Stegostoma tigrinum: one gene and its partner. The protein of the gene in region 1 interacts with the protein of each later gene in a biochemical or structural test. Links are inferred from orthologs where the notes say so. Each region holds a gene or a part of one and is shown on either strand. Other genes may lie near its edges. The genes, in order: voltage-dependent P/Q-type calcium channel subunit alpha-1A-like and cacnb4a.

The links.
Region 2: the proteins of voltage-dependent P/Q-type calcium channel subunit alpha-1A-like (region 1) and cacnb4a form a complex in vitro, tested with the Homo sapiens proteins (2 studies listed by BioGRID). The link is inferred for Stegostoma tigrinum from reciprocal best matches to the Homo sapiens genes CACNA1A and CACNB4.

The regions. Positions count from the first base shown.
Region 1 is NC_081388.1:22,035,628-22,052,258, forward strand, and holds the start of voltage-dependent P/Q-type calcium channel subunit alpha-1A-like, read right to left. Parts: upstream 8,964-16,631; 5' UTR 8,514-8,963; coding exon 8,254-8,513; intron 1-8,253.
Region 2 is NC_081360.1:87,466,674-87,483,049, forward strand, and holds the start of cacnb4a (voltage-dependent L-type calcium channel subunit beta-4a), read right to left. Parts: upstream 8,275-16,376; 5' UTR 8,075-8,274; coding exon 7,991-8,074; intron 7,464-7,990; coding exon 7,371-7,463; intron 1-7,370. UniProt on the Homo sapiens protein: The beta subunit of voltage-dependent calcium channels contributes to the function of the calcium channel by increasing peak calcium current, shifting the voltage dependencies of activation and inactivation, modulating G protein inhibition and controlling the alpha-1 subunit membrane targeting.

The DNA of each region.
Region 1 (16,631 bases):
AGCACCACACCTGGAAAAACCAACATCAACTCGGTATCACCAAGCAAAAGGAGTACATACTTTGTCGTCATTCCACTTTTATCTTCAAATAAAAAAGGTCAGGTTGCAAGTGAACAGGAATGCATTGACAATATGCTGCCCACCTGCAGGGAAGCAGGAGAACTTCCAATCTGACTGTTGTGATACGATTTTAATGATTAGGATAAGTTGATACTATGCTTTTAAAAAAAACTATTTTTTAAAAAAGCATGCTAGATTGTAGGCGTTTATAAATAAAGGCATTGAATATAAAAGCAAAGGTATGCATATTTATAAGTTACTGGTTAAGCCTCAGCTGGAGAATTGTAACTTATTGGGTGCATCAAACAATTTATTAGGAAAAGGAGTAGATGAGATTTACTGGAACGGTAGCAAAGATAAGGTTCACAAAGATTGGAGTATCTAGGGTTCATTTTACAGAAGAGGTTAGGGGATCCAGTAGGTGTTCAAAATTATAAAGGGTTTTGATCAGCATAGATGGTAGCAACTGTTGCAACTAATCCGAAGATTGATAACCAGGATGCACACATTTAAGATGATTGGCAAAAGCACAATGAGATTTTTTAAGTTTTATTTTATGTAGTAATTTATGCAGTGCCCAAAATAATTATGTAAACAAATACAACAATAACTATCAAACAGGATAAGGTTTGGGAATTAAATAGCTCTGTCAAAGGGCCTTCATGGGAAGGGTAGATTGCATAGTTTCTTCTGTGTCATTAGACTCTGCAGCTACAAAATCTCAAATATATATGCCTGTTGTTGCAAAATATAAGAATATATAAATAATTGATAGCTATTGTAACACTATTAGCTTAGTGATACATTGGAGAGGTGTGGTGGACAACGAAGAAGGTTACTTCAGAGTACAACAGGACCATGATCAGATGGGCCGACGAGTTGCAGATGAGTTTAATTTAGATAAATGTGAGATGCTATATTTTGGTAGGGCAAATCAGGGCAGGACTTGTACACTTAATGCTAAGGTCCTAGGGAGTGTTGCAGAACAAAATGACCCTGAAGTGTAGGTTCATAGTTCCTTGAAGGTGGAGTTGCACTCAAGGTAATGAAGGTGGTGTTTGGTATGCTTGCCTTTATTGGTCAGTGCATGGAGTGCTGGACTTGGGAAGCGATGTTGCAGCTGTACAGCGCATGAGTTAGGACACTTTTGGAATACTGCATCTAATTCTGGCCTCCCTGCTGAACATACTGTGAAACGTGAAAGGGTTCAGAAAAGATTTACAAGGATGGTGCTGGGAATGAAGGGATTGAGCTATAGGGAGAGGCCGAATAGGCTGGGGCTACTTTCCTTGCAGCATCGGACTCCAAGGGATAACCTTATAGAACTTTATAAAATCATGAGGTGCGTTGGATAGGAAGAACAGGGGAGGTCTTTTCCCTAGGGTAGGGGAGTCCAAAACTAGAGGGCATAGGTTGAAGGTGAGAGAGGAACGATTTTTCATGTAGAGGGTGGGGTGTGTGAGAAGTGAGCTGCCAGAGGAAGTGGAGGAGGCTGGTGCAATTACTACAGTTAAAAGGCATCTGGATGGATATGTGAATAAGTAAAGGTTTAGAGGGATATGGGCTAAATACTGGCAAATGGGAATTTACTATTTCCATGGTTGGAACACCGTATTGAGAAATTAGGACAAGCAACCTATTTTTCAAAGCTGGACTTACACAAAGGATACCGGCAGATACCTTCATCCACGGGAGCAAAGAAAATTTCAGCTTTTGTAACACCAAATGGAGTGGACAAATTTAAAGTCATACCATTCGGTATGTAAAATGCACCAGCAACATTTTGAAGACTAACCAATAAGGTCAGTGGGATTACCCAATTGTATGGTATAAATCGCTGATCTGGTGATTTTTAGTCACACATGGAAGGAACATTTGCAGCATTCATCTCAATTGGTCGAACATCTTCAGAAGGTGAGCTTGGTGATAAAGCTGGCCAAGAATGAGTTCATAAAAGCCCAAGTCACGTTCCTTGGGAATGTCATTGGACATGAACAAATGGCTCCACCGGATATGAAAACAAATGTTATCCAGGAGTTTCCCATCCATCGATGAAAAGGGAAGTATTACAATTCCTGGACGGAGCAGTTTTTTAATTGAAATTTAGTACCAAACTTTAGGAGCATGGTTGCTCCACTGACTGCCTTCCTAAGAAGTGCAGGAAATTCCAGTGGACAAGAGGATTATCACAAGGCAGTTGGCAGCCTGAAAGCTGTGCCAACCACCACCCGAGTATTAGCCATACCTAATTATGCAAAGCTATTCAAAGTGGCTATTAACACTAGTGATTTGGGTGATGGTGGTGTACTCTTCCAAGATGACAAAGAGAAGATAGCAAGACCTATTGGATATTTTTCCAGTAAGTTAAATATTCATCAAAAGGAATACTTCACAATTGAGAGAGACCATCAGTTTGGTGTTGGCATTGCAACATTTATAAAAACCAAAAGAAATGCAGATGCTGTAAATCAAGAACAAAAACAAAGTTCCTGGAAAAGGTCAGCAGGTCTGGCAGCATCTGTGGAGGAGAAAACAGAAGTTCTGAGGAAGGGTCACACCTGACGCGAAACATTATCTCTGTTTTCTCCTCCACAGATGCCACCAGACCTGCTGAGCTTTTCCAGCAACTTTGTTTTTATTTCAACGTTTATGTTGCCAATACTAATATACTCATCAATATATACTAATCATAACCCTTTTACACTTTTGGAAAAATGTAAAAGGTAAAAATAGCATACTCTTTATAATGGAGTTTATTGTTACAGATATTTAAATGTGAAAATTATACATGCTGCAGGATGAGAGAATGCAATTGCCGAAGCATTGTCACTATTTTGAAGGAAATTAAGGTGTCCGGTGGAGGAAGAAAGGGATTGAGATGAGCTGTATTATTGAATGTTTGTGTGCTTAGAATCAATGGTTATGTACAGTGGTGTACCAAACAGTGTAAGACTAAAGATTTTTTATAAGAAGAAAACCATCTTTGTATATTGGCTGTTCATTTTTAAGGGGGTGGAGCTATGTTGATACTACAGCTTTTAGAGATATATTTTGTCCTTTTATTTGAAGAGAGGTTTTCAACAATAGGCATTGAGCTGTTTCCTCCAAGTCAATAAAGTAAACAGCTTGAGGAGCCTTGGGGCTTTTTATTTAATTTCAAACAATAGAAGTGGCATGAATGAGTGGAGTCAGGCTCCCACAGAACCGGGGTTATAGTTCAGCTTTCAGCAATTATTGAGTTTTGAAGTTGGCTATGGAAGCTCTGTCTCACATGTAGTTCTGGCAGCAGAGAGAGAATCTGTTTTACTGAATTTTCTTTGCCAAGGGTGTGTTTACAGGGTGTTACTAATATTGGAGCAGCTGCTGCTTAGTAGTTAAATAATCTATTATTCTTTTCGGTTTTCCAATAGAGTTAAAGTTACACAAATTCTTCTTTGTACTGTTTGTATTTTAACTGTGCAGTAAGAATAAACTATGTTTTGCTTAAAATTGAGTAGCGTACCAACCAAATTACACCTAGAACACGGCACCTTAAAGAAGGTAAAAGTTAGGATGTAGGCTATCTCTTTGATATGTCTGAAAGGGGTTTGGTCTGGTCCAGTCCACAACCATGTCCAAACTTAGGGTCACCAATAAATCCAAGGAATTCAAGGTAAACCTTTTGACAGTGATGGGATATAGAAAATGATATGGCATGGAATGCTGATGCAAGTATTAGAGATACATTGCAGGGGAAAATAAATTAAGGGAGGAAAAAGGAATAGAGGAATACAAAATGAAGGCTAAAGGAAGAAGTGTGGCAAGAAGGGCATAAAACATCACATAAACCAATTACGCTTTTTTCTATGATGTTAATTGTATCCAACTATGAATTTTAGCTTCTCTGTGGACAGAAACTTTAAGATATTCCAAGGGAATTTCTAAAACAAAAATTAATGAAATTAAAAAAGTTAATCTTGGAAAATTATTCACTACAAAAAAAATTCTAGGGAGTACAAAAATACAGTTAGGAAATGAAAGAGGCAGAGAATGTAAAAAAGCTGTGGGAATAGAAAAGAAAAATCAAGAAAGCCCATCAACATGAATATATAAATGACGCAATTAGATATCTTTAGGTTTGATAAATACAATAAGAGAACGTACAGCAGGCAGTGAAGAAAGCTAATGGCATGCTGGCCTTCATAACAAGAGGAATTGAGTATAGGTGCAAAGAGGTCCTTCTGCAGCTGTACAGGGCCCTGGTGAGACTGCACCTGGAGTATTGTGTGCAGTTTTGGTCTCCAAATTTGAGGAAGGACACTCTTGCTATTGAGGGAGTGCAGCATAGGTTCACAAGGTCAATTCCCGGAATGGCGGGACTATCATATGTTGAAAGATTGGAGCGACTGGGCTTGTATACACTTGAGTTTAGAAGGATGAGAGGGGATCTGATTGAGGCGTATAAGATTATTAAGGGATTGGACACTCTGGAGGCAGGAAGTATGTTCCCGTTGATTGGGGGGGTGGGGAAAGAGTCCAGAACTAGAGGACACAGTTTAAAAATAAGGGGTAGGCCATTTAGAACAGAGTTGAGAAGAAACTTCTTCATCCAGAGAGTGGTGGATATATGGAATGCTCTGCCCCAGAAGGCAGTGGAGGCCAACTCTCTGGATTCTTTCAAGAAAGAGGTGGATAGAGCTCTTAAAGATAGTGGAATCAAGGGTTATGGGGATAAGGCAGGAACAGGATACTGATTGTGGATGATCAGCCATGATCATAAATGAATGGTGGTGCTGGCTCGAAAGGCCGAACGGCCTACCCCTGCACCTATTGTCTATTGTAATTTAGAATTAATGTATCAAGAGGGACAATATTGTTGTGCATTATGTTTGTACAAAGCTTTTGCAAAACAAATGACATGTATTTTCTAATTTATATATTTCTTATCTGTATAATGCTGAATATAATTTACACCATAATTTTAATATGTGTGCAAAGCAAACTTTTCTGACTGGTTTCCATTTTTCAGCAAATCTGTACAAGTGAGCACACGTGGTGACATGCTGTTTTCCATTATCCACTTACTTTACTGTGTCTCACAAAAGTCCACCATATAATTAACTTTAACTTGAGCAATGCCATTGTACTCCATAAGTGTTGCTTCTCAAACTAAATATTTAATTAATAATACCTTTAAGGTTAGACTGAAATTTTGCCTAATGAAAAAGTTATCCATGCTCTTCTATATCATCAATTAATTCCAGCAACGTGAGCATTACAACTTCTGATATACTTTAAAATCGTGACAGACCATACAAACAACTATCATGCTGTGGCACAAAAGGAGAAACTCTTAATACTAGAGTGGTAAATCAAATAGTACAGGTATATTTAAGGACAAGTTAGGCAAGGATTATATGGTGAAGGAAACAGATGATGACAATGGTATATTTAGGTGAGGTAAGATAGGAAGAGGCTCATGTGAAGCAATGAACAGCATGGACTAGTTGGGCCAAAAAGCCTGTTTCAGTTCCTCACGATGTACAAAAAGCCTGTTTCAGTTCCTCACTATGTAATCCAATGGAATTAAAAAAAACTCTTAGTTACCTACCTAATAACAGAAACAGAGGTATGTCTGATTGAGTATAATTTGATACTGTTAGCTTCACGCCAATGCACAAAAAATTGAACAATTTAAATTTACAGCACTTGGCATTTACAAGTGATAACAGTTGCAACAGGTCAGTGATTAGGAACTGGACATCTAATGGGAGAGATGATGGTGGTGGTTAGTGGGGTATGCTGGGCGGCGGGGGGAATCTCAAAAGACAAGAAAGGTCTGGAAATATGTGAAACATGAGGCTGATGGGGGTACATTTACTAAGAAAGATGTGGGCAATGAGGCCCAGAGAGTGAACACACTGCAACCAAAACAAAACTGGTAACAACAGGACCTCACACAAGAAGCAGACTGCTCAGCGTACTGGAGGGTGTATAAGGAATGGAGTAGGACTCAGAAAATAAGGTTCTACAGGTATTTATAGGGGAATGGGGAATATCAAATCTGAAAATTAATCCTCTGCGGTGCAGAAATACAAACAACTACAGAGGAGGATCTTAATGTCGACAAAAACATGGAACTGCAAGGATAACACTTGAGAAATTCAGCCACTGAAACATTAAGAATAATTAAGCCTTCATTAGGAAGGGAGTGGAAGAGATTAAAGTTTCCTCTATTTTTGATTGTAAATATCCTACGTGAAATCAGTTTAATGGTCTAAATCTACTTCCTTAAGAACCAAAATCTTGAAGATGTGCAAGGGGTTACTCTTCTGAGATAGGGCAAATTAAAGTCTCTACGTAATACCGCAACTGAAATGCTTGGTTCTAGTATTCCACAGCACCAACACCAGCAGTCACAGAAGAGGTCAGGTAAGCGTTGGATATAAATCAGTATACATAGGATATGGTATTAATTCTCCTAATAAATGTGCTTGTTATTTTTTCCTAAAAAAAAGTCAGTCTATTTTCTTTCACAGTGCTCAAATGACTGGCAAAAGAAAGCAACCATGCAGGTACAGCAGGCAGTGAAGAAAGCTAATAGCATGTTGGCCTTCATAACAAGAGGAATTGAGTATAGGAGCAAAGAGGTCCTTCTGCAGCTGTACAGGGCCCTGGTGAGACTGCACCTGGAGTATTGTGTGCAGTTTTGGTCTCCAAATTTGAGGAAGGACACTCTTGCTATTGAGGGAGTGCAGCGTAGGTTCACAAGGTCAATTCCCAGAATGGCGGGACTATCATATGTTGAAAGATTGGAGCGACTGGGCTTGTATACTCTTCAGTTTAGAAGGATGAGAGGAGATCTGATTGAGACGTATAAGATTATTAAGGGATTGGATACTCTGGAGGCAGGAAGCATGTTTCCGCTGATGGGTGAGTCCAGAACCAGAGGACACAGTTTAAAAATAAAGGGTAGGCCATTTAGAACAGAGTTGAGGAAAAACTTCTTCACCCAGAGAGTGGTGGATATATGGAATGCTCTGCCCCAGAAGGCAATGGAGGCCAACTCTCTGGATACTTTCAAGAAAGAGATGGATAGAGCTCTTAAAGATAGTGGAATCAAGAGTTATGGGGATAAGGCAGGAACAGGATACTGATTGTGGATGATCAGCCATGATCATAATGAATGGTGGTGCTGGCTCGAAGGGCTGAATGGCCTACTCCAGCACCTATTGTCTATTGTCTAAAAGCTGGATAAAAATCTTACACAAGTGGAGTTTGAGCTGGTATTACATAAACAAAATCATTAGCACCTAGGCTGCACCAAAAAAAAATGCAGAACACACACTTTTCAGAACATGAGTAAAGAATATGGATTAAAATCAAAAAAGATGAATTAACCTAAACAATTCCTAGAATTCCCAGTGCCAGAAATTCTAAGACACATGTACCCATTGTCATTTCTTTTCAATTCTTCTGCTAAGTGTGTGTGGATATAAAGACATGAAAAAGGAACAGATTAGGACTTGGTACCAGTATAGACTTTCAACAATCTGTGCATCTTATCCCGATGATCATGTGTTCATTGGTGTGCATGTGACCAAGTGAGCACAGGCATGAAAAAAAATCCTATTCATCACCACAACCTCTCTGAATGGTTCCTTAAAATAGGTACAGCCCCACGTCAGCAACACCAGTTAATGCATCCTTCTCCCATCAGGCATTTAACTAGCTCAGATTCACTACAAATATAAAAGTATGCAATTATGCACCAAATAAAAGGTTTCTTAAATTTATTCTAAAGCTATGATCAGATGGGGTGTACCAATAACATTTTTTTTCAACTGCAAATAGCTGTTTATATATCCTTAAAGTGAAATTGGCTGCATCACAGTGTGGAGGAATTTTTAAGCATAGCAACATTTTTGGTAGTGATTGGTTTTATTTTGTTTTTTTTTTGCAAATAGTCCTCTCACTGCAATGGCAAAGCAATCGCCATCCAATTTACATGAAGGGCCAGTCACAGAAAATGCTACCATTATACGAGTGGAACTGACATTGTACTATCATTTATGCCCGCGAGACTGACATATGTACTTTCTACTGTGAAATTCACATCATTTTGATTTTTTTAATCAATCGATTTACACTATTTGCTTGCATGTAAGGTATTAAAAGATAATCAATAAATTAGACAAAATAAAAAAAGGATATGGCCATTCAGTGATCTTTTTGGCATATTTTCTTACAAAGTTGTCTTCACTGAAGAGAAAGAGAGATCTGTTAACTGTGAAGCAGTTTTGTCGGACTGGGATAGGATTGTAGAGAGCCATGGTCCGGGCTCTTTGGGCCATCGACTGCTTGTACATCCTTTGAGGTGCTCCTGGCGGTCCGCCCTGACGGCTGCCGCCGCGTCCTCCGCCTCCTTGGCCGGCTCCATACCTGGCCGGCACCTCGTCTCCAAATCTCGCCATTCTATAAACAGATGCCAAAGATCACCATTCAGTAGATAAATACGGCAACTCCACATTACATCCCATCTGCTCCAACACTGGTGCACATGCAATTAGTTTAGATTTTTGCCCTGTTTTTCTTAGGTTTTCATTGTCCAGTGGCTAATTCTTCATAAGACTGGGTCATTTGTAGATTTAAGAAATATTTTCCCCTCGTGTCAAAAATCAAATATATGATCTCGTCGTTTTTGCATCTGCAGTTTTTTTTACTCCCTCGATCGCCTTTGCATCATCTGCATCTCAAAGCTGTAGAATCCCAGAGTAAAATCCACACAGCCTCCCAGGCAAACATCCACCATCTACTCATGCCTTTCATCGGTTTCCATCAGATACTGCATCGCCGAACATTTTTCGTCCTCTCTCGTGTATTTATATTAATCAGGATCTGGACTGCGAGTACCCGATCGACTGGTGAAGCGTAAGCAATGGGAAGCATCTGATCAGATTTATGCAGCCAACCAACAGCCCACAGCATCAAAGCTAGCCACATGATTCCTACTGCCCAATGAGGGAACGAAATCTGATTTTATTCAAAAAAGCTCAGGGAGAGGAAAATCAAAAAAAAATTTCTTTTTTTGTAAAGTCCACCCTGTTTTCGGAGAATGCGGCAGCAAAATTTGCTTAAGATATCAACCGGCAACATTACCTGATGGACTAAACGCCAGATCGAGTTATTGGTCTTTAAGTATAAATCTTCCACTGGTTCAAATTTCATAATGCCAAGAAAAGCAGTACGAGGAATTTAGTGGAAATAGGGTGCTTTTCTATTTCGATCCGTACTCTCTGAAATTCTTATCAGTTCTAAAGCTTGCAAGGTAACACTCTAACATTGTGTCTAATAGTCCTTTGGTGGGATATAACTGGAGTAAAGTCGAAGCTTTTAATCGTGCATTCAAATACTAAACTAAAAGCAAAACAACATTCGATGTCTCATACAGAAGAAATGTTGTTTTCCTTTTACTTTGGTATTCCTTGTGAACTGTTCTGATGAGTACAAGATAAAAAGCTTTGATGAAATGTGTTTTTCAGCAATAAACAAAACTGTTTAATTGCATCTGCACCTTAATTTCAATCAGTACCTTGACACAATATTTCTCGTTCTTAGTCATTCAGAAATATGTTTTATATGGTATTCTATCATCCCTTTCTTCCTTTGACTTTCAGCCCTCGGCCCCATCCCCTTAATGTGGTATGTATCTAAACCAAAACAAAATGCTGGAGAAACTCAGCAGGTCTGGCAGCATTTGAAGAGTGAGAAATAGAGTTAACATTTTGAGTCCAGTGTGACTTTTCAGTGTGAAATGAAAGAGGAACAGCCAGGGGAGGGTAGGGAATGTGAAAAAAATGACTATTCTCTGAAGTTGTGGAACTCAGTATTGAATTCTACAGGCTTTAAAGAGCCTAAGCAGAGGTTGTTCCTCCAGCTTGTGTTAAATCTCATTGGAATACTGTAGAGGGCCAAGGGTGGAAAAGTTAGCATGGTAGCAAGATGGTTGAAAGAAACGACATGCAACTGGAAGGTTGTCTCCAATGCAGCAGAAAAGTTCCACAAAGTGTTCACACAGACTATATTTGGTCTCATAAATGCAAAGGAGGCCACATTGTGAATAGTGAATATGGTAGATTAGACTGAACTCGCAGAATGCTACCTTACCTGAAAGATTTGGTTGTAGGATGAAGAGAGAGATGAAGGGACAAGTGTTACATCTGCTGCAATTGCATGGTAAGGCGCCATGCAGGAGTGAGGAAGTGTTAGGAGTGATGGACGTGTGGACCAAATGTCATAGAAGAAATTATCCCTGCAGAATACTGGTAGTAGATGAGAGGGGAAGATATCTTTGGTGGTGGTATCCTGCTGTGGCAGAAATGGCAGAAGATGAACATGGAAACTGGTGGTTTACAAAGTGAGGACAAGAGGAACCCTATTGTTATTTCAACAGGTACAGGAAGGGGTAAAGGTTGAATTGTGAGAGATGGATCATATATGATTGAGAGGCCTGTTAATCACGGTGAGGGGTACTCACCCAACTTCTTAAGAATTTTAATTGCACACTAAGTACTTTATCTGACAGCCCGTTCTATGTACAATCATTTATTCAATGTTAAATGTATGTCTTTGATTTTGACATACCTCTTCCAAATTTAATATTCTGCTTTTTTATACATTACAAATTGTTTTGGAATTTTAAAGCCTTGTTTAATATGTCCACTCTTTCGTAATATTTTTTATGTGCTGAAATATCTTCAATTCATAAAATCTTTCCATTTAAATAAGTACAACAATTCCTTCAGTTCCCCTTCAGTCATGAACTTTTAAAGTGCCTTCATATTGATTAAACAAAACTGTCAATAATGAGCTTAAATAAATTACCAGGAAAAGCCATCAAAGCAAGCAGAATAAACTAGTATAAAAGGCATCAAGATAAATTCCAGGAGCAAAACAGAAACTGAACATCACCTTATAACATGAAACAGGATCTATCATGGATTCCATCTCTCAGAGTTACAGTGCACAAATCTTTTGATGACTGTAAATGTCATAGCTTTAGTTTGCTATATTTTTGATTGTGAAATAAAACAGGAAAAGGTCTGTTTTGAAAATGAAGAATTGTGGAAAGGATTATTGCACTTCTTAAAATGTTACGAAAACTCATTGTAAGTGCTGTTTACACTGCTGTTTGTTCAGTCAGTAGGTTTAGACACAGATGAGCTGGATCTAGGGATTGCTTTTTTAAAAATTCACTCGTGAGATGTGCGCATCACAAGCATTTAATGCCCAACACTAGTTGCCTTTGAGAAGGTGACACTGACATGCCTTCTTGAGCTGCTGTCGTCCACATGCTGTGGACAGACCCACAATGCCAATAGGGAGGAAATTCCAGGACTTTGACTCAGTGACAGTGAGGGAACAGTGATTTATTTCCAAGGATGGTGAGTGCTTGGAAGGGAACTTACAGGTAATGATGAGCACAAAATGAGATTCAACCAGCAGTAAGTAGTTGATTGATCAATGGACTGATGACCAGTTGGCAATGACAAAGTGCTTCTGCCGGCCAATAATTATGTGATTGGCACAAGCTGTTCAGCTACTTGGGAGCCAGTGAAGATATGGTCAGAAGCCATTGGATCTCTGGAAAGGAAGGTGCTGTTCTTTACTCTGTAGTAAAAATAACCTTAAACCTGAAGAAAGCCTGTTTATTTCTGGTCATAAGATGCTGCAAGTTGTAGATCTTAACTAAAATGTCTGAGACTTTATATGTATGAACTATTTGCTCTGTGCCTTCAGCAATCGAGTAAAGGTACCTGCAGAAGGACTATCAAGGGCTAACAAATCCTGACAAGTCAAAAGAATCATCTCGGCAAACCCTGTGAACACAGACTATTGAACTGCCTTCCTAGCCTTTACCTTTACCCACAACATTCATGTTTATTTTAGAACTACAGATGCTGGAAATGAAAAGCAAAAACAGAAATTGCTGGAAGAACTCCACATGTCTGGCACTGTAACAGAGTTAATATTTTAGGTTTAGTGAACCCTCTGGCCAGACCTTGGAGGAGCTCCACAAGGAGGTCCTGTAAAATGCATCTAAAATGGGTGAGTCATCTCCACAAAGTATGTACAATTTACCCTATCAAGCGTTCACAACTCCTATACAATGTTCTAGGTAAAAATTTTGCATGAATATTTTCCAATCAGTGAATCTTCCTTTGAGTGAAAACTTATCCATGATTCAGTTCCAGCCTGAAAGCAAACAATGAACAGAGAACTGAAAGTTGTATTAAGCTTAATTCCTTCAACTGTTTGCTAATAAATGGACAACTCCTTCACTTCAACTGTCAAAAGATTACTGAACTGTGTCTTCTATTGCTTCTATCAGTATGTCGACCAGAACAAAATTGGCTAGTATCTTGCTAATGCACAGGTGAGTGTTCAGTTTGTGTCTTGTACACTAACTCTCCAATTAAGGAATTCACTTAAAGCCATTCTCCTGCCTTAACGCTACACTTATTCATTTTCAGATAACACTCTGAATGCTAGAGTTGAACCTACCTCTACCACACTTTTAAGCACCGCATTTCAAATCTTAACCCACGCACTGTGTGGGGTGGGGGGGGGAAATCTTGTATTGCTTTTTTTTGTCAATTACTTCATCTGTGCCATTTTATTGTTGATCTTTTCAAGAGTGGAAATAGTTTCCCGTACCTGTTTAGATATGTAGGTCATCTAGATAAAATTACAATATATAGTGTGTGTGTGTATGTATATATATACACACACACACACACACACACATATATAGTATCTTAGTATATACGTAAAACTACATGACCTGAACACTTATTTCACAAAGTTAACCTCAATGTTTTTAATACGTGAAGGTACATTGGGCAGTGTTTTTTTTATGGAACTTAGATTCAATTTCAGTCTTAGCTGAAAGGATGAAAGCCTCTTCTCTACTAGGCATCTTTTAAGTAAAAAGGGAAGTCTGCATTCGGTTCCTAATAAATGTGAACACATATCACGAATGTCCATAGGTTGCAATTGATGCCTACTTTACAGAGATGGTTATTATAGACAGAGGAAAAAAATGACAGTATCAATAAATTGTTGTCAGATGTTATCAAGCACATAATCTTATGGCCCAATAGTTGAATACCAGCAAAGTATTTATGTCATAGGAATCGGGAAAATCTCCCCACTTTTTGAAGTCAAAATAACATGATTATGCTTGTTGGAAGCCAATTATCCCAGCACAATTTCAGGAAATCCTCAGGTTAAATATTTTCTAATCAACCTGTTCAGACATGTCATTTTACACATCTGGTGCAGTTGGAACTTGAATCTGTGCCTCCTGACTCAGTGGCAATGGCCTAGTGGTATTATCACTGGACTGTTAATCCAGAGACCCTGATAATGTTCTGGGGAGCCAGATTCAAATCCTGGAATGGCACATAGTGGAATTTGAATTCAATACATATCTGGAATTAAGAGTCTAATGATGACCATGAATCTATTGTTGGAAAAACCCATATGATTCACTATTGCCCTTTAGGGAAGAAAACTGCCATTCTTACCTGGTCTGGAAACTTAGCTGCATGTGCCTCCTGATCCACAGCAATGTGGTTGACTCTAAACTACCCTCTGGGCAATTACAGATGGGCAATAAATGCTGCCTGGCTAGCAATGCCTTCACCCTGTGAATGAATTATTTTAAAAAACTACCGTACCACAAATGGTTCTTCAGGGTAGTATCCTTAGTTCAAAAATCTTCAGCTACTTCAGCAATGACTTTCCTTCTGTAATAAAGGTTAAAAATGTTTTTGACTATTTAAGATTGCAGCATTCACTACCATTTATAGTTTCTCAGACACTGAAGCAGTCTGTAGCCATACACAGCAAGATCTGTACAATATTCAGCCTTGGGCTGATAAGTGGCAACTAATATTGGGAAAAAAAACAGAAAATGTCAGTGACCACCTCCCACAACACAAAAGCCTATCATTGCCAGTGACATTTAATGGTATTACCATTGCTGAATCTTCCTAGCATTAGCCATTGTTCAGTGATTTAACTGTACCAGCCTATAACAGCAGATCAGAATCTGGGAATTCTTAAACAAGCAACTCATCACCTGACTACCCAAAACTAGTATGCCATCTGTGAGGCACAAGTTAAAGAGTGATAGAGTACTCCCTACCTACCTGGATAAATGCTGTTCCAACCACACAAGCAACTCAAAAGCCTGCTTAATTTGTTCCCCACCTTAAGCATTCAATCTCTTCATCCTGATACACAGAGGCAGCATTATAAAGAAGCATTGCTGTAGTTTGCTAAGCCTCCAAGAGTTAACAACAAATGCTGCCCTTACAAGTGTTGCACATATTCCATGAAAGGGAAATAAAATCAGTTGATATAACTTACACTGTTTGCCTTAAAATCTTTGCATAATTTTGAACAATCCTTTTAGACCTGTCCATAACATAAATAACTGAATATACCGCAAGAATTTGAGTGTTTCAACATAAGTGTATCCTCCCATCACTCTGCAATCTTGATAAATCAATGCTGCAGCTTACATACGACTCCAATATTCCATCTATATTGGCTTGTTCAAAGATGTATATGCTAAAAAGAAAATCTTGCAAAGTAATTCAGTTATGAACTAATCACTATATACTCATTACCACTCATTATTGTATTCAGTCCTCCTGCATGGAACTCAGCATTCAATTCATCTTAAATAAAAACTGAAAGAACTGCAGATGCTATAAATCAGGAACGATCAATTCGTCTTGTTACAATCCCAGACCGGATCCCAAGTTGATCCAATTAGGAATCACATCTTATTAAAAATAGGTGGAGTATCAGCAGACTATCTGGACATGAAGGAACATTTTAGCAATTTCAATTCAACTGCTGTTCTTCCCACATTTTATTGTAGAAGGTGTCCAAGAACACTGATCAGGACACTTCTTCTCCCAAAAACAAAGACTAAATTGTATACCTAATAATATCACCCCATCTATTATTTTTTTAAATTCAGTACATATTGGAATCAAATCTGAAACTTTGCTGGTCTTTACGCCCGAATATCATGCCAAGAAATACATATTCAACAGAAGAAAATGATGAGTTCATACAAATGTTTAAATATGAATGAAAAGTCTTGTGTTACGTATTTTAGTCCTAAAGAACAACTTTAGATGCTCAAAACATTCTGCTATGATCAGCACTTTTACAAATGACCAGTATATATTAGATTAACCGAGTCAAAAATTTTATCACTTAACATGCAACACAATCAAGGAAACACTCTTTATTGTACAATGAATGATCCTTTATAAGAAGCTATTACTACATCATAGGAGACAGAAAAGGGCCTCTATTCTGAAACATCAATTTTGAACAAGGAGGAGGTGCTCAGCCCAGGATTAAGACACAGGAGTGGAAGTAAGGCCATTCAGCCCATCAAGCCCACTCCACCATTTAAATCATGGCTGATGGGCATTTCAACTCCACTTCCCTGCACTCTCCCCGTAGGCCTTGATTCCTTGAGATCAATGATTTGTCAATCTCTGCTTTGAAGGCATCTAACGACCCGGCCTCCACCGCACTCCGTGGCAACGAATTCCACAAGCCCACCACTCTCTGGCTGAAGAAATGTTGTCTCATTTCCGTTTTAAATTTACCCCCTCTAATTTTAAGGCTGTGCCCACGGGTCCTAGTCTCCCCACCTAACGGAAACATTTTCCCAAGAGTCCACCCTATCTAAGCCATACATTATCTTGTAAGTTTCTATTAGACTTCTAAACTCTAATGAGTACAATCGAGGATCCTTAGCCGTTCATCACACGTTAAACTTACCATTCCAAGGTTCTTCCATGTGAATCTCTGCTGGACACTCTCCAGGGCTAGTATGTCCTTCCTGAGGTGTGGGGCCCAAAGTTGAACACAGTATTCTATATGGGGCCTAACTAGAGCTTTATAAAGTCTCAGAAGCACATCACTGCTTTTATATTCCAACCCTCTTGAGATAAATGACAACATTACATTCACTTTCTTAATCACGGACTCTACCTGCAAGTTAACTTTTAGAGAACCCTGGACCAACACTCCCAGATCCCTTTGTACTTCTGCTTTATGAATTTTCTCACCATTTAGAAAATAGTCCATGCCTGTATTCTTTTTTCCAAAGTGCAAAACCTCACATTTGCTCACATTGAATTTCATCAGCCATTTCCTGGACCACTCTCCTAAACTGTCTAAATCTTTCTGCAGCTTCCCCACCTCCTCAGTACTACCTGCCTGTCCACCTATCTTCGTATCATCGGCAAACTTCGCCAGAATGCCCCCAGTCCCTTCATCCAGATCATTAATATATAAGGTGAACAGCTGCGGCCCCAACACTGAATCCCGCGGGACACCACTCGTCACTGGTTGCCATTCTGAAAAAGAGCCTTTTACCCCAACTCTCTGCCTTCTGTCAGACAGCCAATCCTCAATCCAAGCCAGTAGCTCACCTCGAACACCATGGGCCTTCACCTTGCTCAGCAGCCTCCTGTGAGGCACCATATCAT
Region 2 (16,376 bases), on another chromosome or scaffold:
GCGAATGCAATAGCAATGTTGCATTGAGGCACCTTGACAAATATATGAATAAGCAGGGAAAACAAACTACATTATGGCAAAAGGATTTTAGGTCCGAAAGGCATTGTGTGTCAACGTGGGTTTGGTAGGCCGAAGGGCTTATTCCTGTGTCGTACTGTTCTTTGAAAGGTATGATTCTGAGTATTACTGTGACAGGCTGTTGCTTGACTAGTCTGTGAGATAGCTCTCTTATTGATATTAGTGAGGTCTTTGCAGAGTGGACAGGGCTGTGTCTTCTGCCCGTGCTGAAGTCAATGCCAAGTGATCCATCTGGAGGGCAGTTAAGAGCCAACCCCCTTGGTGCAGGTTAGAGGTCAGCCTGGGGAAGAATAGCAGTTCCTTCATGAAAAGGCCAGACAGGTGTTTACATCAATTGACAATGGTTTTTAACAACTTACAATTTACTGAACTCAAATTCCTCAATTTGTCAATTAGTGCCGATACCACATGCCATCTCCTCTCTTGAAAGTCTCCCTTATTTATCAGACTGTCCATAAGTTCAAAAGTTCTGCAGCTCCACAATACTCTCTATGCCATTATCAATTCTACATTTATTTATTTAATAAAGAACAGGTTTAACGTAATCTCTAATGCTAACTTATTATTTAATTGCTAAATTTAGAGTGCAAATTAATAACTGAAGACTTGCAATTTATATTCAGAGTCCATGTGACAGGTATGACTCAGTTCACAGGACTCCCACTTCTGAGTCTGGAGATTGTAGGTTGAGGGCCCATTTCAGGAATTGGGCACAAAATATCAGGCTGACACTTCAGTGCAGTACTAAGACAGTGTTACGTTGACAAAAGTGCTGTGTTTCAAATATGATGTTAAACAAGGCCCTATCTTGTCTGCACAGCTGGATACTGGGTTGGCACAGCAGCTCAGTGGTGAGCACTGCTGCCTCACAGCACCAGAGACTTGGGTTCAATCCAACCCTTGGGCAACTGCCTGTGTGGAGTTTGCACGTTCTCCTTGTTTCTGCATGGGTTTCCTCCAGATGCTCCAGTTTCCTCCCACAGTCCAAAGATGTGCAGGTTAGGTGGATTGGCCATGCTAAATTTCCCATAGTGTTCGGGGATGTGTAGCTTAGGTAGGTTTTGGGGGGATGGGTCAAGGTGGGATACTCTAAGGGTCGGTGTGGACTTGTTGGGCCAAAGGGGCTGTTTCCACACTGTAGGGATTCTATGAAGCACTTCACACTTTTATAACAGATCCTGTGGTATAATTTGAAGATGAGCAGCTATTTCTGGTGTCCTGACTAATATGTTCCTTTCAACCAACATCATGAAAACAGATTAACTGGTCATTGTTGTGGTGGCTGGCATGAGGTCAGCCAGGTGAATCTCATAGAATATGAGTGCCCTGATTGGAGCTGTTCACCTCATCCAATCCAGGAGCCCTGGCTGACAGATGTGGTGCCAATATTTAAGAAAGGTGGTAAGGAAAAGCCAGGGAGCAATAGACTGGTGAGCCTGACATCTGTGGTGGGAAAGTTGTTGGAAAGTATTCTGAAGGACAGAATTTACATGTATTTGAAAGGGAAAGGACTGATTAGGGATAATTAACAAGGCTTTGTAAGTGAGAAATTGTGAAACTATCATGATTGAGTTTTTTGAAAAAGTAATGAAGGGGATTGATGGGGCAGAGCAGCGGACACGGTCTATATGGATTCAATAAGGCATTGGACAAGGTTCCTCATGGTAGAGTGGTTAGCAAGGTTAGATCTCATGGAATACAGGAAGAACCAGCCATTTGGATACAGAACTGGATAGAAGATAGAAAACAGAAAGTGGTGGAAGAGTGTTGTTTTTCAGACAGGAGGCCTGTGACCAGTGGTGTGCCATAAGGATCGGTGCTGGGTCCATTGCTTTTTGTCATCTATATAAATGATGTGGATGTGAGCACAGCAGGTATGGTTAGTAAGACTGCAGGTGACACCAAAATTGTTGGTGTACTGGACAGCAAAGAAGATTACCTCAAGAGTACAACGGGATCTTGATCAGATGGGATAATCAGCCGAGGAGCAGCAGATGGAGTTTAATTTAGATAAGTGTGAGGTGCTGCATTTTGGAAAGGCAAATCAGGGCAGGACCTATATGCCTAATGGTAAGATCCTGCAGAGTGTTATTGAACAAAGAGTCCATGGAGTGCAGGTTCACAGTTCCTTGAAAGTAGAGTCGTAGGTAGACAGGGTAGTGAAGGCGGCATTTGGTATGCTTGGCTTTATTGGTCAGTGCATTGAGTATTGGAGTTTGGAGGTTATGTTGTGGCTGTACAGGACATTGGTTTGGCCACCATTAGAATACCACATGCACTTCTAGTCTCCCTGCCATAGGAAGGATGTTGTGAAACTTGAAAGGATTCAGAAAAGATTTACAATGATGTTGCCAGATTTGGAGGGTTTGAACTATAGGGGCAGGCTGAGGCTATTTTCCCTGCAGAAGTGGAGGCTGAGGGGTGACCTTATCGAGATTTATAAAATCATGAGGGTCATGGATCAGGTGAACAGACAAGGTCTTTTCCCCAAGGTGGGGGAGTCCAAAACTAGAGGTTTTAGGTGAGAGGGGAAAGCTTTAGAAGGGATCTAAGAAGCAACTTTTCACACAGAGCATAGTGCATGTATGGAATGAGCTGCCACAGAAAGAGATGGAGGCTGATACAGTTACAATATTTAAAAGGCATCTGGGTGGATAGATAAATAGGTGGTGTATAGAGGGACATGGGCCAAATATTGGCAAATGGGACTAGGTATATTTAGGATATCTGGTCGGCATGGACAAGTTGGATCAAAGGGGTCTGTTTCCATGCTGTACATCTCTATGACTCTGTGTAAACAGGGATGTCAAGGGTTCTGTTCACACTAGGAGCCAGCAGTGTGCTTGTTGAGTCAGTGTTATGTGTAAATAAAGGATGACTTGGTGACAAGACACTGGCCTTTATGGAGTTATTTCAATTGTCATATCAGTATCTGTGCGAGATTACTATTTGGCTGTTACATTTCCTAAACAATAGCAGTAATACACGCCAGGAGTACTTTGTTGGTTATGAAACATGTTGGAATGTTCATGATCATGAAAGGTGGAAATGGGAATGAAATAATAGAAGTCTTTCTTTCTTTGACTTTTCCATTAGCTACTGTATTACTTTTCTCATCACGCTACTCGTTTCATTGCTTAGATTATTATGCTAGTGATAAAAATTGACTAACGTATTTTAACTTATATCATCTGATTTTTAATACCTGGGACCTCCTGTGAACTGTGAATTCTTTTAGAAAGGGAAAATACTGAAATAAGACCATCACAGTGGTGACCTAATCAGTTTGAGCACACTCCATCTGTAAGAATCAGTCAACATTGTTATAAAAAGGCATTGAAACTGAGCGCTATACCTCCTCGTCAGTTCATACCTTTCTAGAGGTAATAGAAATACACAGAAATATACATCAGAATTGTATGTCAGGCGAGAGTTTTTGGACAGAGAACACGTGTGCTGTTTTCTGATAGGTTGAAAGAAATGCAGTGAGAGACAGAGTCTTCCAGTTATACTGTGATCAATTAATTTTCCTTCTCCCCGTCCCAGATATTAAAATCACATGATGGAAGATGAAATTTGTTAGTCCATTTTTACCACAAAAAAGAAACATCCAATCACCATGATCACATTGTCATCTACAAATTTTGCCTCTGCTGAAGACACAATGAAACAAGTGTGGTCTCATATCAAAACCTATCATCTCAAGGACTTCTTTTGAAAGTGCCTATTCTCACTTCTTGTCACCTGGTCATAACAAGGTTCCCCCACAATATACTTATAAGAACCTCTCTGGTGATATCCCATTGTGTCTAAATTGAATTTCCCAAGCTCAAAGTCAATTTGAAATTTGCACCTATACAAATGGCAACATGTTTAAGGATCTCTATCTTCAGATTCACCACAACCAATGCAAAAGTGAGTAATTTCATTAAAGGGGCAGTTGCTATTTCTGACAGCACAAAGCAACACTTCAATCAATTGGATATCCATTCTATATGTTCAGCATATCTCCTTAGAAGTTGAATAGCTATCATCTACAAAATGATCATAGGGCCATAATTAATAATGAGCATCAACAGAAAAATGACAGGAAGACAGCAGCTTCATGAATTGAATAAGGAAAACATGTGATATTAAGATATGTTTTAAATCTTAATAATCCTCTCATCTACATCATTGGTTTGCTTGCCTACTCTAAGACCTAATTTTAGCTACTGAGAGCATACAGAATATGAAACAGCTTTTAAATTAATAGAATCATAGAATTGTACAGTACAGAAGGAGGCCATTTGACCCATCATGTTTGCACTGCTCCTCAAGAGCTACCCAACTAGTCCCATTCTCCAGCCCTATGTTCGTGGTCCTCTAAAGTCATTACTTTCAAATATGTATCCAGCTCTCTTCTGAATCCTCCTATAGAATCCACCTCCACTACTCTCCCTGACTGTGCATTCCAAATCCTAAAATCTCTCTGAGAAAAAAAGTTTCTCCTCCTAGCTCCTCCTGCTGACAATCTTGAAATTGTGATCCCTAGTCACTGACATACCAACTAGTGGAAACAGAATAACCCTCTTCACCCTGTCAAAATTGCACATGATCTTGAACTCCTCAATAAAATCACCTCTTATTCTTTACTTACCTTTGAACTTTCTCCAAGGCTTGAGCATCCTTCCAGGTGCCCAAAGCTAAAAACAAAACTCCGAAAGTGATCTGACCAATGATTTGTAAATGTGTAGTGCTACTTATATGCTATGCCTCTATTTATATACTGAAGCCTATAAGCTTTTTATGAACGGTTTCAAATTGCTTGGCCAAGATTCAGAGAATTGCGCACATGAACCTCTACCCCTGTACTCCCTTCAAAGTTGTATCACTGAGCCTGTATTCTCGCACCATGTTTCTTCAATCAAAATGCATTACCTCGCATTTCATCGCATTGAAATCTGCGAGGTCATTTAGCCCAACTTGACAATGTCCCTCTAAAGTCAGTCAGCATCATCCTCACAATTCACTATTCTCTCTAGCTTAGTATCATTTGCAAAATTAGAGATTTTGCCCTCAACATCCATCTCCAAATCGTTCGCATAAATCAAAAAAGGCAAGGGTCCCAACACCAATATCGGGGAAGCACCACTTTGAATTTGTCTCCAATCTGAGAAATGGCCATCTCTACTTATCATCCGTTACCCAACAACTAATCCATGCTGTCAAAGACACATTAATCCCAAACATTTTTAAATTTGTTAACCAAACTGCCATGTGGCATGATACCAAATGCTTTCTGAAAGTCCAATACACAACATCCACAGCACTGCCCTCACCCATTGTCTGAATCTTCATAAATATAATTCAAAACTATGTACATACATGTAATAAGTTTTCTTTAGCCTATAATACCATAATCACTCAAATGGGAGTTTTCAGGTTCAAAGTATCAAAGTGAGTGGATACAGTGCATGGAATTGTTGCAATTGCTGAGTTCAATAATTTGAATGCAGATTTCTTCCATCACAATGTAGCATTGATGGCCAAGGAGAATCATCTTATGACTGCATCAGACCAAGTCTTCAATGTATAATTCAGCTTGATAGCTGAACAGTGGTGTTTTGCCAGAGCTCCTACCATTTGAATGCATTGTGAAACCAAGGCCCTCAGACAGATATTAAAGATTGATACTGCTAATCAGAAAGAACCACCAAACCCTCCCAATGCCATTTCTGATGTTGCTTCCTCACCCAAAGCTACCATAAATAGATTAATTGCTAATTTGCCTTATTGTTGTTGGTGGAGTATTGCTCTGCGCAAAATGGCTGCTGCATCTCACCTTTACAGTAGTAAATATGGTACAGATTACCTGAGAGCTCTGTGACATCACTGATGACATGATTAGATGCTATATAAATGTGTTCATCAATAAAAAAAAATTTTAAATAAACATTATGATTAAAGATTTGCACTTGTGCACAATATAGCAAAACATAAATGTGAAGAATGCTTCTGTGATTTTCATTCAAAGTTGTGTATGTGTTTAAAAACGCAGTACATCTCTAACACAACTGTTGTAGATTGTAATCCACTTTATTTTAGCGTCTAATCACATCATCAGTTCAAGAGGAACTCAGGATAAGCAGTAAATGCTGACAATTTCACTGACATCCCATGAATGAATAAAAATATTCATTTTCACAAATGTCATTTTCTCAATCTGCCCAGCAGCATGGAATCATGAGGGTGGTAACATACTAAACTCTAGGCATGTCACAGCTTAGTGACACAAGTATATTCAGTATAGATTCTTGATCTGAACGTAGAGCAGCAGCAACATTTCTTAATCTGGAACATTACAGTTGTTAGAGCAGAGAAGCTCATTCCAGAGTGTTCCTGTCTGGCATAACTTTTTTTTGGCAATACTCATTTCAGACGGTTGTAAATGGGGTCATCCACTTTTCGACCTTTTGCGTTTAGTCATGACATTAAGCCAATCAAAGGGAATCTGAAACAAAAAATCACCACCGCTCCTAGCTGCCCACAAACGCCTCCTATCCCCAACTCACAACCTTCAAGTCATAGTAGAGTCATACAGCAGTATAGCTTGGAAACAGACGCTTCGGTCCACTCATTCATGCTGACCATATATCCTAAATTAATCCTGTCCCAATTGCCAGCATGTAGCCCATATCCTTCTAAACCCTTCTGCTTCATATATACATCCAGATGCCTTTTAAATAGTGTAGTTGTACCTGTCTCCACCACTTCCTCTGGCAACTCATTGAGAGTCAAAATTATCTCTATCAATCAACAAAGTCACATCTCTAAATCCGAAACCCTTCTTCAAGCTTGTAATCATTATGCTATTAGTGATGACACTAATGGATAATGCTAATTAGACCCAATTTATATTATAACAGCTTTCTCAGATTTAAATAAAAGGCTTTAATGGAAAGAAAATAGAACGTGCTGGCAAAGTCAATATATCTCCTTATCAAAAAATATAAATTGTGCCATATTTAAATTTCTTCAGGGCTAAATAGGCTATCAAGTGTCACAAAGCTGCAATGTCACGGTGGTAGTACTTTTAATTAATGGGTTCAAAAGTTCAGGAATCGCTGTCATGAGCATTTACCGAGGATTTTCTGCTGACGAAGTCCACGAAGTGCAGGGAGAAGAATCCTAGTCTTTGCTTAGGTCCCCTGATACACAGTGGTAACGTCCCTACCTCTCGTCCAGGGGATCAGGGCTCAAGTTCCGCCTCCTCAGGAAAGGTTGATTGGAAAACATCTATCGTGCCCTACCTGTCGGAGAATGAAGCTGGTGGAAGTTGTCTCGGACGATGTGCTTCCATCGGAACGTTTCAACCTGCTCCTCCTCCTGTTCACCCGGGTCAACTTGCCGAACATGGGAGGAGGGAAGAGAAAGGGGATACGTGAATGAATTGCTGCTCGATTTAACTGTCAAATCATATAACATTGAATCAGTGGGCCGTAGCAATAACATACAACGCGTTAGAAAAAATGAACTGTCTTTTCTAATAAAAAGGAATCAGCCTTACAGAATTAATTTGCAAAAAAAGTTTCTCTTTACAATGAGAGGGGAAACCTTAGAAAAAGAGAAGTTGCATTCCTTATCTGAGCGTGCTCACGGAATGGAATAATTAAAAGTAGCACTTTTTTGATTATTTCAACATCAGTTCACGCTCCTGTTTAGGCTACGGTCATGCAAAATAAATCACAAATTGGCGTGCAGGAGAAAGGAGCCTGTCAACCCCCCCCCCCCCTAACAATTTCAGAAACGCAAACAGAAATTGCTGGAAGAGCTCAGCGGATCTGGCAGCATCTGCAGACAGGAATCAGAATTAAGGTTTTGGGTCGAGTGACCCTTCCTCAGAGGTTAATAATTTGAGGCAATCCCTTACCTGAAAGATGGGCGGCTGTAGCCCATCGCCTGGAATGTCTTTGGTGAATAAAGGTCCAACTCCGGACATCTTCAGATAGATCATGAGCTCGGGACGCTGCTGGAGCTGCTTTAGCTGGAATGAGGGATCCAGTCCATCGAGCTGGCGCTACTCCAGCCCCTGGTGGCTCTCACTAGCCGCTGGAGCTGGCCATCGAGACGTGCTGTCTGGCTGATGGAAGAGGGAGGGGTGAGTTACCGTACCCACCGTCTGATCCCTACACCTCCCACCCCTCCCCCTCAGGAATTCACTCAGTCCCAGGCACGGCCGTAGCTGCCCTCACCACCCCCACAGCCCCCTGCAGCCAGTCAGGAAGGTGTCAGGAATTATAGGAGGAAACCGGGGCGAGAAATATATCCGCCTAGGGAGGGGGAGGGATGACAGGAGGAGGGGTCAGTAATGCAGCGAGGAAAATTAGGAACCGGGCTGGGAAGAATGACCTTGTGCAATCTGGCCTCCTGTCCGCGGAGATGTGCCTGGTGTGTTCAACGCAGTTTGTACAGTCAGGGCTGTTCACCTTCGGGGAGCTGGCGGGGAAATTACAGCCTTTTTTTTCCTCCTGTGCGAAAGACGTCCCAATCTAACGACTGCAGCAAACGCATCGTTTTTTTGGATCATTTGCACCGCCAGGAAGAATTACGAGTGGCAGGTCATCATGTTTGTAATTATTACCACGAGTCTTTATTATAGAGAAGTGCAGATTAAATAATCTCAGCGCCTCGGCAGTGCTCAGGTGCACAATGTTTGACACATGGCTGTGCATTTCCTGAACTATCCCTGGCGTGGATTTAAAATCCATCCCCCCCCCCCCCCGCTACCTACAGAGGAACGGTCACTCCATTCGAAGCGTTCATTCTGATTTCTCGCCACAGAAGCTGTCAGACCTGCTGTGCTTTTCCGGCGATTTCTGGTTTTGTTTTTTTTTGGGGAAAAAATGAAGCTACTTTATTCCATTTCAGGACGGTGACACCAGTTGATCTTTCCAGGGACAGTATCTGCATATACAGCAATGATACAATAACAGAAAGCGATTGTGCCAGTTTCTGAACTTTTCAGAACCCCAGTGTCGGCGCTTCAAAACAACACGACGAGCAGGAGAAAACCGGCGTTCACTTTTTTTTAATTTGAATTTATGCATTCCCATATTGACGCGGTTGCCACTGAGGCCAGCATTTATTATCCACCTCCAATTGTCCCCGAACTGAGTAGCTTGCTAGGTCATTTCACGGGGTAGTTAAGAATCCGGAGTCACATCTGGCCCAGATTTTTTTCCTCATTTTCATTCACAGAGTGTGCACTCCACCGACTGGATCCGTGTTTATTGTCCATCCCTAATTGCCCAGAATTTGCTTAAAAGTCAAACACATTGCTCTGGGTCTGGAGTCACATGTGGGCCAGACCGTGTAAAGATGGCAGTTTCCTTCCCTCAAGGACATTAGTGAATTTTTTTTAACCCCCAAACAATCATCATGGGATCCTTAATTCCTTTTTTTTAAAGAGTTGAATTCACCTACCACTGCAGGATTCAAAACCAGATCTCAGGGTTTGGGTCATTGGATTAGTTGCCTACCATGACCACTAGGCCTTCACCTCCCTATTCAGGTAAGATTGACATAAACATACCTTCCTTTCTTAAAAGACTCTATGACCATCGCTGATCATCACTTTGGTTTCAGTTTCACGTTCGCAATCCACCTCCACATCCCTGAGAGACTTGAGACATGCCTATTCGCAGCCTTAAGAATATTGGTGCATGTATTGATACATGCACAACCCTCTGAGTTAGTGAATTCAACAGATTCAGAGCCCTTTCAGTGAAGCTATTGCACCTCATCTCAGTTTTAAACAATTGGCCCCTTGCTTTTAGGCTCTGTTCCTAGTTCTCTATTGCTAGGTCAGGAAAAAACAGCTGCCAGCATCTGTCAGTCTAACTTATGGTCTTGAACATTTCATTGCATTCACCTCTCTTTTGTCTAAACTCCTGAAAGCGTAGAGTCAGACAGTCATAGACACGTACAGCTCAGAAATAGACAATTGGTCCAACTTGTCCATGCCAACCAGTTACCTTAAATTAATCTAGTTCTATTTGCAAGCATTTGGCCCATATCCCTCTAAGCCTTCTTATTCACGTATCCATCCAGATGCCTTTTAAATGTTGTGATTGTACTAGCCTCGACCACCTCCTCTGGCAGCTCATTCCATACACGCACAACTCTCTGCATGAAAAAATTGCCACTTAGGCCCCTTTAATATCTTGCCCCTCTCATCTTAAGTAAATGCCCTCTCTGATGAAGGGTCCAGGCCCGAAACGTCAGCTTTTGTGCTCCTGAGATGCTGCTTGGCCTGCTGTGTTCATCCAGCCCCACATTTTATTATCTTGGAATTCTCCAGCATCTGTAGTTCCCATTATCTCTTAAGTAAATGCCCTTTAGTTTTGGACTCCCATATCCTGGGAAAAAGGCCTCAGCTATTGATCCTATCCATAACCACCATGATTTTATAAACCTCTAAAAAGTCACTCCCTTAGCCTCTGATGCTCCAGGGAAAATAGCCACAACCTATTCAGCCCCTCCCCATGGCTCAAACCCTCCCACCCTGGCAACATCCTTGCAAATATTTTGTGTACCCTTTCAAGTTTAACAACACTCTTCTAAGAGCAGGGAGAGAAGAGTTGAATGCAGTATTCCAAAATGTTTTCAGCCGCTAGAATGAATTCATAGGATTTCTTTTCAATGACTATCAAAACAACATGAGGATTATTGTGTGAAATAGGATAAAAGGGTGTCCATTTGTAACATAAGGATAATTGTGGTCCAGTTTGCTGTAAGTTCTTTGTTGTTCTATATTCCATATTTGAAATTTAAATAGATCTAATAGAGGCCATGGAGTTGGTCATTGTGCTTTAATTTAGGAACACGAACCTTAGCCAGAGTTTTTCTTCTGATCACTACACTTATTAGTACCAGGTGATGATAACTCTCAAGTGTTACAGCATTGCTACCTTTAGAATGTCCACAAGTATGCAATGTTGAAGATCACAAAGGAAGAACGACATTTCTACTGAGCAGGAAAGTACCTGCAGGACAAAACTTCAACAAGAAATCAGTGACTTCAGAAGAGAGATATGCAAAATTTACCACAGAAAATTGGAAAGAAATAAATGGCTAATTAGGACCAAGTTGAGTTGCTTGCCAGCTTGATGCAATGGGAGCTGCAGGTTATCAAAGGTCTGTGATCATCATTCATGCAGGATTTTCATACATGACACTGAACTCTCAAGATTCTGGAATGGGATACCACATTTACTTTGTGTAAAAATATACAGCCTGGGTAGAGTAGGGTGGCATAGTGGCTCAGTGGTTAGCCCTGCTACCTCACGTGACAGGGACCCAGGTTCAATTCCAGCCTTGAGTGACTGCCTGTGTGGAGTTTGCACATCCTCCCTGTGTCCGCATGGGTTTCCTGTCAGTGCTCCAGTTTCGTTCCACAGTCCAAAGATGTGCAGGTTAAGTGGAATTGGCTACACTGAATTGCCCTTAGGGTTAATGCATGTGCATTCCAGTTGGGTTAGCCATGGGAAATGCAGGGTTACAGGGGTGGGGAGTTGGGGTTCTGTGTGGGATGCTGTTTTGAGGGTCAGTGTAGACTTGATGAGCCAAATGGCCTGCTTCCACACTATAGGGATTCTATAATTCTTAAGTTGCTCTGCTTGTAATAGAAGACATAGATTTAAAGTGATGTGTGAAAGCAGCAAAGGTGATGTTAGAAAAACCTGCGCACAGCGAGCAGTTAGGGTATGGAATATAGTGCCTGGAAATGTGATCGAGGCAGTTTCACTTGCAGCATTAAAAGGGCATTGGATGACTATTTAAAATAAAATAGCATGCAGGGGTATGGGGAAAAGCAGCAGATTAACATGCGGTTAAAATTGCTCATTTGACGAGTTGGTGCAGGCACGATGGACCATAGCCTCCTTCTGTGTCATAACAACTGATCATTAAATGATAAAGCACAGTTTTGTGCTGATTGAAAAAGAGCTATCCAGTCTTATCTCAATGTCCAGCTATTAGTCTATACATTTTGGTACCTTAAGTGCAAAATCAATTTTTTGCAGTGAAGACTTCAACTTTAACACCCTTTCAGGCAGTGAATTTGAGATCTCCACCACTCACTGAGTGAACAAAAAATGTCCTCCACTGCTCCCTAATGGTTCTGGGTCTGCCTCACACAACACCAGTTATTGACTTCTCTGCTGAGGGATTTTGGGGGTCTGTGTGGGATGCTGTTTTGAGGGTCAGTGTAGACTTGATGGGCCAAATGGCCTGCTTCCACACTGCAGGGATTCTATAATTCTTAAGTCTGTAGAGGCCTATCACTGCAAAAAATTGATTTTGCACTTAAGGTACCAAAATGTATAGACTAATAGCTGGACATTGGGATTTCCAACCCAGTCTGTAGAGGCCTATCGTAATTTCATGCAACTCAATGAAAACTCTCTTCAGCCTCTTCCACTCAAAGAAAATCACAACAGCCTATCTTACCTCTTAGCCAAAATGTTGCAGGTGTCTGCATGTTCCTCTCTTTGGTAAACTTGCTAACATTTTTTTTCAGTTACTATGCAGCAATTATGCACTGATGTCAAGGTTATCTTTTGGTGACTGGTACAGCTTTGTTGAAAGTTAAGGTATGGGACTCGCTTTTGCGTTGCTGCATTTGAAAGATCTAGGGTGAAAGATCTAATATTTGTTTCATATCATTGAAATGCTGGAAATCAATGTGAAGTTGTTAGCTCATGCATTTTCTCCTCTGTTGCATTTATATAAAGGGCATATTAAACAAGCTAGGATTAAAAATGGAAAGTGCCTGTCCTCACGAGATCACCAGCTGAAAAAATGCGTCAAGCTGTTTAAGGGAGTGCAAACTGGATTGTTTGATTTACTAGTCATAAACAGGGAGATCATGTTTGAGTGATGATGAATACTACCAGCAACTCCTGAGTACATTTGTCACTAGATGTCACTGCTCATTTCATCTGGAATCTGTGTCTCAGCAGTAATCCCATGCATTCTGTTTTTTTATAGATTTTGAGTGATAGTTTTCTAATGTAGAGAGAATGTTTTAGTAATTATTCTAATCCATCTCATTCAATGTATAGCATGGCACTGCAGTGCTGAGCTGGGCAATCATGTGCCAAATGCCAAAGTACACTATCTAACTCCAAATAAAGAACTCTGAAAAAAGTTCATAGAATATTGATTTATGTAATTCAGAGGATAGTTAAATATTTTGTGAAATCTATGTGGTGTCTATTGTGTTTATTGACTCTTAAATCTGTGTGAAATATGACTTATAACAGAATGGAATAAGTGGTTTGAGAGGAATATCAGAATCGTGAAGATAGATAGATTTTAATCAGTAAGGGAATCAAGGGCTGAAGGGGAAAGACAGGAAAGTGGAGTTGAGGATTATCAGATCAGCCATGATCTCATCGAATGGTGGAACAGACTCAGTGGGCTGAATGGCCTACTTCTGCTCCGACGTTGTATGGTCTCCAGTAGGACATCATAACATTTTCAGTGCATAAGAATCCGTATCAATATAATGATTTATCACATCTTGGAGAAGCTCCATATCACTCATAGCCAATGCGTTAGATTTTTAAATATAAGTACTGTTGCAGACCAGCACTGTCAGACTGTCTCGCTGACACTGATTTACCACCAATCTTTGCCACATTGCATGTTTTTTAATATTATCCTTAGCTTCCCTAGTTATTTATCCCCTCCTTAGTGTCCATTTTCAGCACTAATTTATATTTTTGCTGTGATTCATGAACTATTTTCTTAAAATTTTACCTTTGCCCCTCAACATTGTTTTTTTCTGATAAACTCCTTTATGAGTTCTCTCTGGTGAACCCCAGCTCTCGTCCCTATGTAATTACCCTTATTTAAGTTTTGTACAGTTGTTTCAGACCCCAAGTCTCTCACTATCAAAATTAATTCTAAACTCTGCCATGTTATGGCCACTGTTCCCCGACTGATCGCTTACTCTGAGATCATTTATCACACAGCACCAGACCCAAAATAAATTACTTCTTGGGTTGGATGTGCCAAAACTCCCCAGAGGGATCATGTAGCTAAATTATACACTTCTGTGTGAAAAACAGAAAGGAAGTGTGTGAATTAAATGGTGATATATTGAGAAATGGGCATATACAAAGGAATCTGGGTGTCTTTGTACACCAGTCAATGAAAGTAGGCAGGCAGGTGCAGCCAGCAATTAGGAAGTCAAATGATATATGAGCCTGTACTGCAAGAGGTTTGAGTTCAGCAAGAGGGATGTCCTACTGCAGCTACACAGGGACTTAGTGAGACCACAGTTAAAATATGCAGCTGTAGCCTCCCTACCTAAGAAGGGATATGATTGCCATAGATGGAATGCAGTGGTGGTTCACTAGGCTGATACCAGGGATAGCAGGATAGTCCCATGAGGAGAGATTGCTTAGACGAGGCCTGTATTCACTAGAATTTTGAAGGATCAGAGGGAATCTAATTTTGAAACATATGAAGTTCTAACAGGATGGACAAAGCAGACACAGGGAGGATGTTTCCCCTAGTCAGGGAGCCTAGAATCAAGGGACCCTGACTCAGGATTCAGGGTAGACAATTTAGTACTGAGGCAAGGAAATCTTTATTCACTCCAAAGATAGCGGAATTCTCTACTCAGAAGCCTGGGGAAGCTAAGCCACTGACTATATTTAAGAAAGATATAGTTACTTTTTCAGATTTTAAAAGTGTCGAAGGTTTTGGGAGGGAGTAGGAATATGGCATTGAGAAAGAGGAATAGCCATGATAATATTGAATGGTGGAGCAGGTTCGAAGGGCCGAATGATCTACTTCTGCACTTAGTTTCTATGCTTTTATGTTTCTACAAAAAATTCTTTCAGGAAACAGTTCTGCATACACTATATGCATTCTTCCTCGTGGCAACCTTTGCCAATTCGCTTTTCCCAGTTTACATTAAGATTAAAGTCATCCATGATGAGTGTACTGCCTTTTTCACATGCCTCATTATTTCATGATTTGTGCTTATTTCAACTGTACAGCTACTATTAGTGCCTGTAGACAATTCCCACAAGTGCCCTCTTCCCCTGTTCTCCTCCACGTCCAATCCAACATAATTTCTTGTTATCACACTAATTGTCATCTTTTATTAACACATTTAACCCTCCACCTTCCCTTCTTGCCTGACCTTTTAAAAAATCACCCATGACTGTATATTTAGTTCCCAAATTTGATCTGCTTGTAACCATGTATTGGCTATAAGGTCCTACCCATTAACCTGTATTTGAGCCATTTATTTTATTCTAAATACTATGTGAATTTCAGTAAAGAGGCATTGATGTTGCCTTTTTCCCTCATGACCCATTCTATTGCTGCTTTCTAATGCTTGCGCATTTTGTCCCTTCCTATCCTGCACTGCCTTGCAGATCATTATCTCTGAGCACTTCAGGAATATCAAATATGTATTTGTACCAGATCTTTGCCCAGCTTTGATGATCAGCCCCTAGACATGACTGACAGACCATGATGCTGTGTTTTTGCACCTCCCCAAGTAATAATATGCGATTCCCCTGAGAGCTTGTATTGGTCCGATAAGATTGGCCACTGAACACTTCCCGAACTGATTCAGGACAAATCCCCAGATTTTGAGCATTCCAGATGGATGACTGACTGTAAGTGAGCCACTATTGTGTGTGGACTAAACTTGTAACTGATGTTACTGGCACCCTCCTGTCAGACAGTACCACCCACTTAACAACTAGGGACTAGCCCCCACCAGTCTGTGGGTGTTACATTGCTGTCTCAGTGTGCAATGCTTGTATTTGTGATAAAGTTCCCCCAAGAACATCAGTGATGGCAACCTTTTGCTCTGGCTCAAGTACCTATGTCTAGGTAGCGGCATGGTGGCTCAGTGGTTAGCACTGCAGCCTCATAGCGCCAGGGGCCCAGGTTTGATTCCAGCCTCGGGTAACTGTGCGGAGTTTGCACATTCTCCCTGTGTCTGCGTGGGTTTCCTCCGGGTGCTCCAGTTTCCTCCCACAGTCCAAAGATGTGCAGGCTAGCTGGATTGGCCATGCTAAATTGCCCATAGTGTTCAGGGACGTGTGGGATATAGGAGAATGGGCCTGGGTGGGCTGCTTCAAGGGGCAGTGTAGACTTGCTGGGCTGAAGGGCCTGTTTCCACACTGTGGGGAATCTAATCTAATCTAATTTAATCTAACAGGCATAGCATGGAATGGTAAGGCAAGGCGTAGATGGTGCAAGGATGCATGTGGGCATAAAAT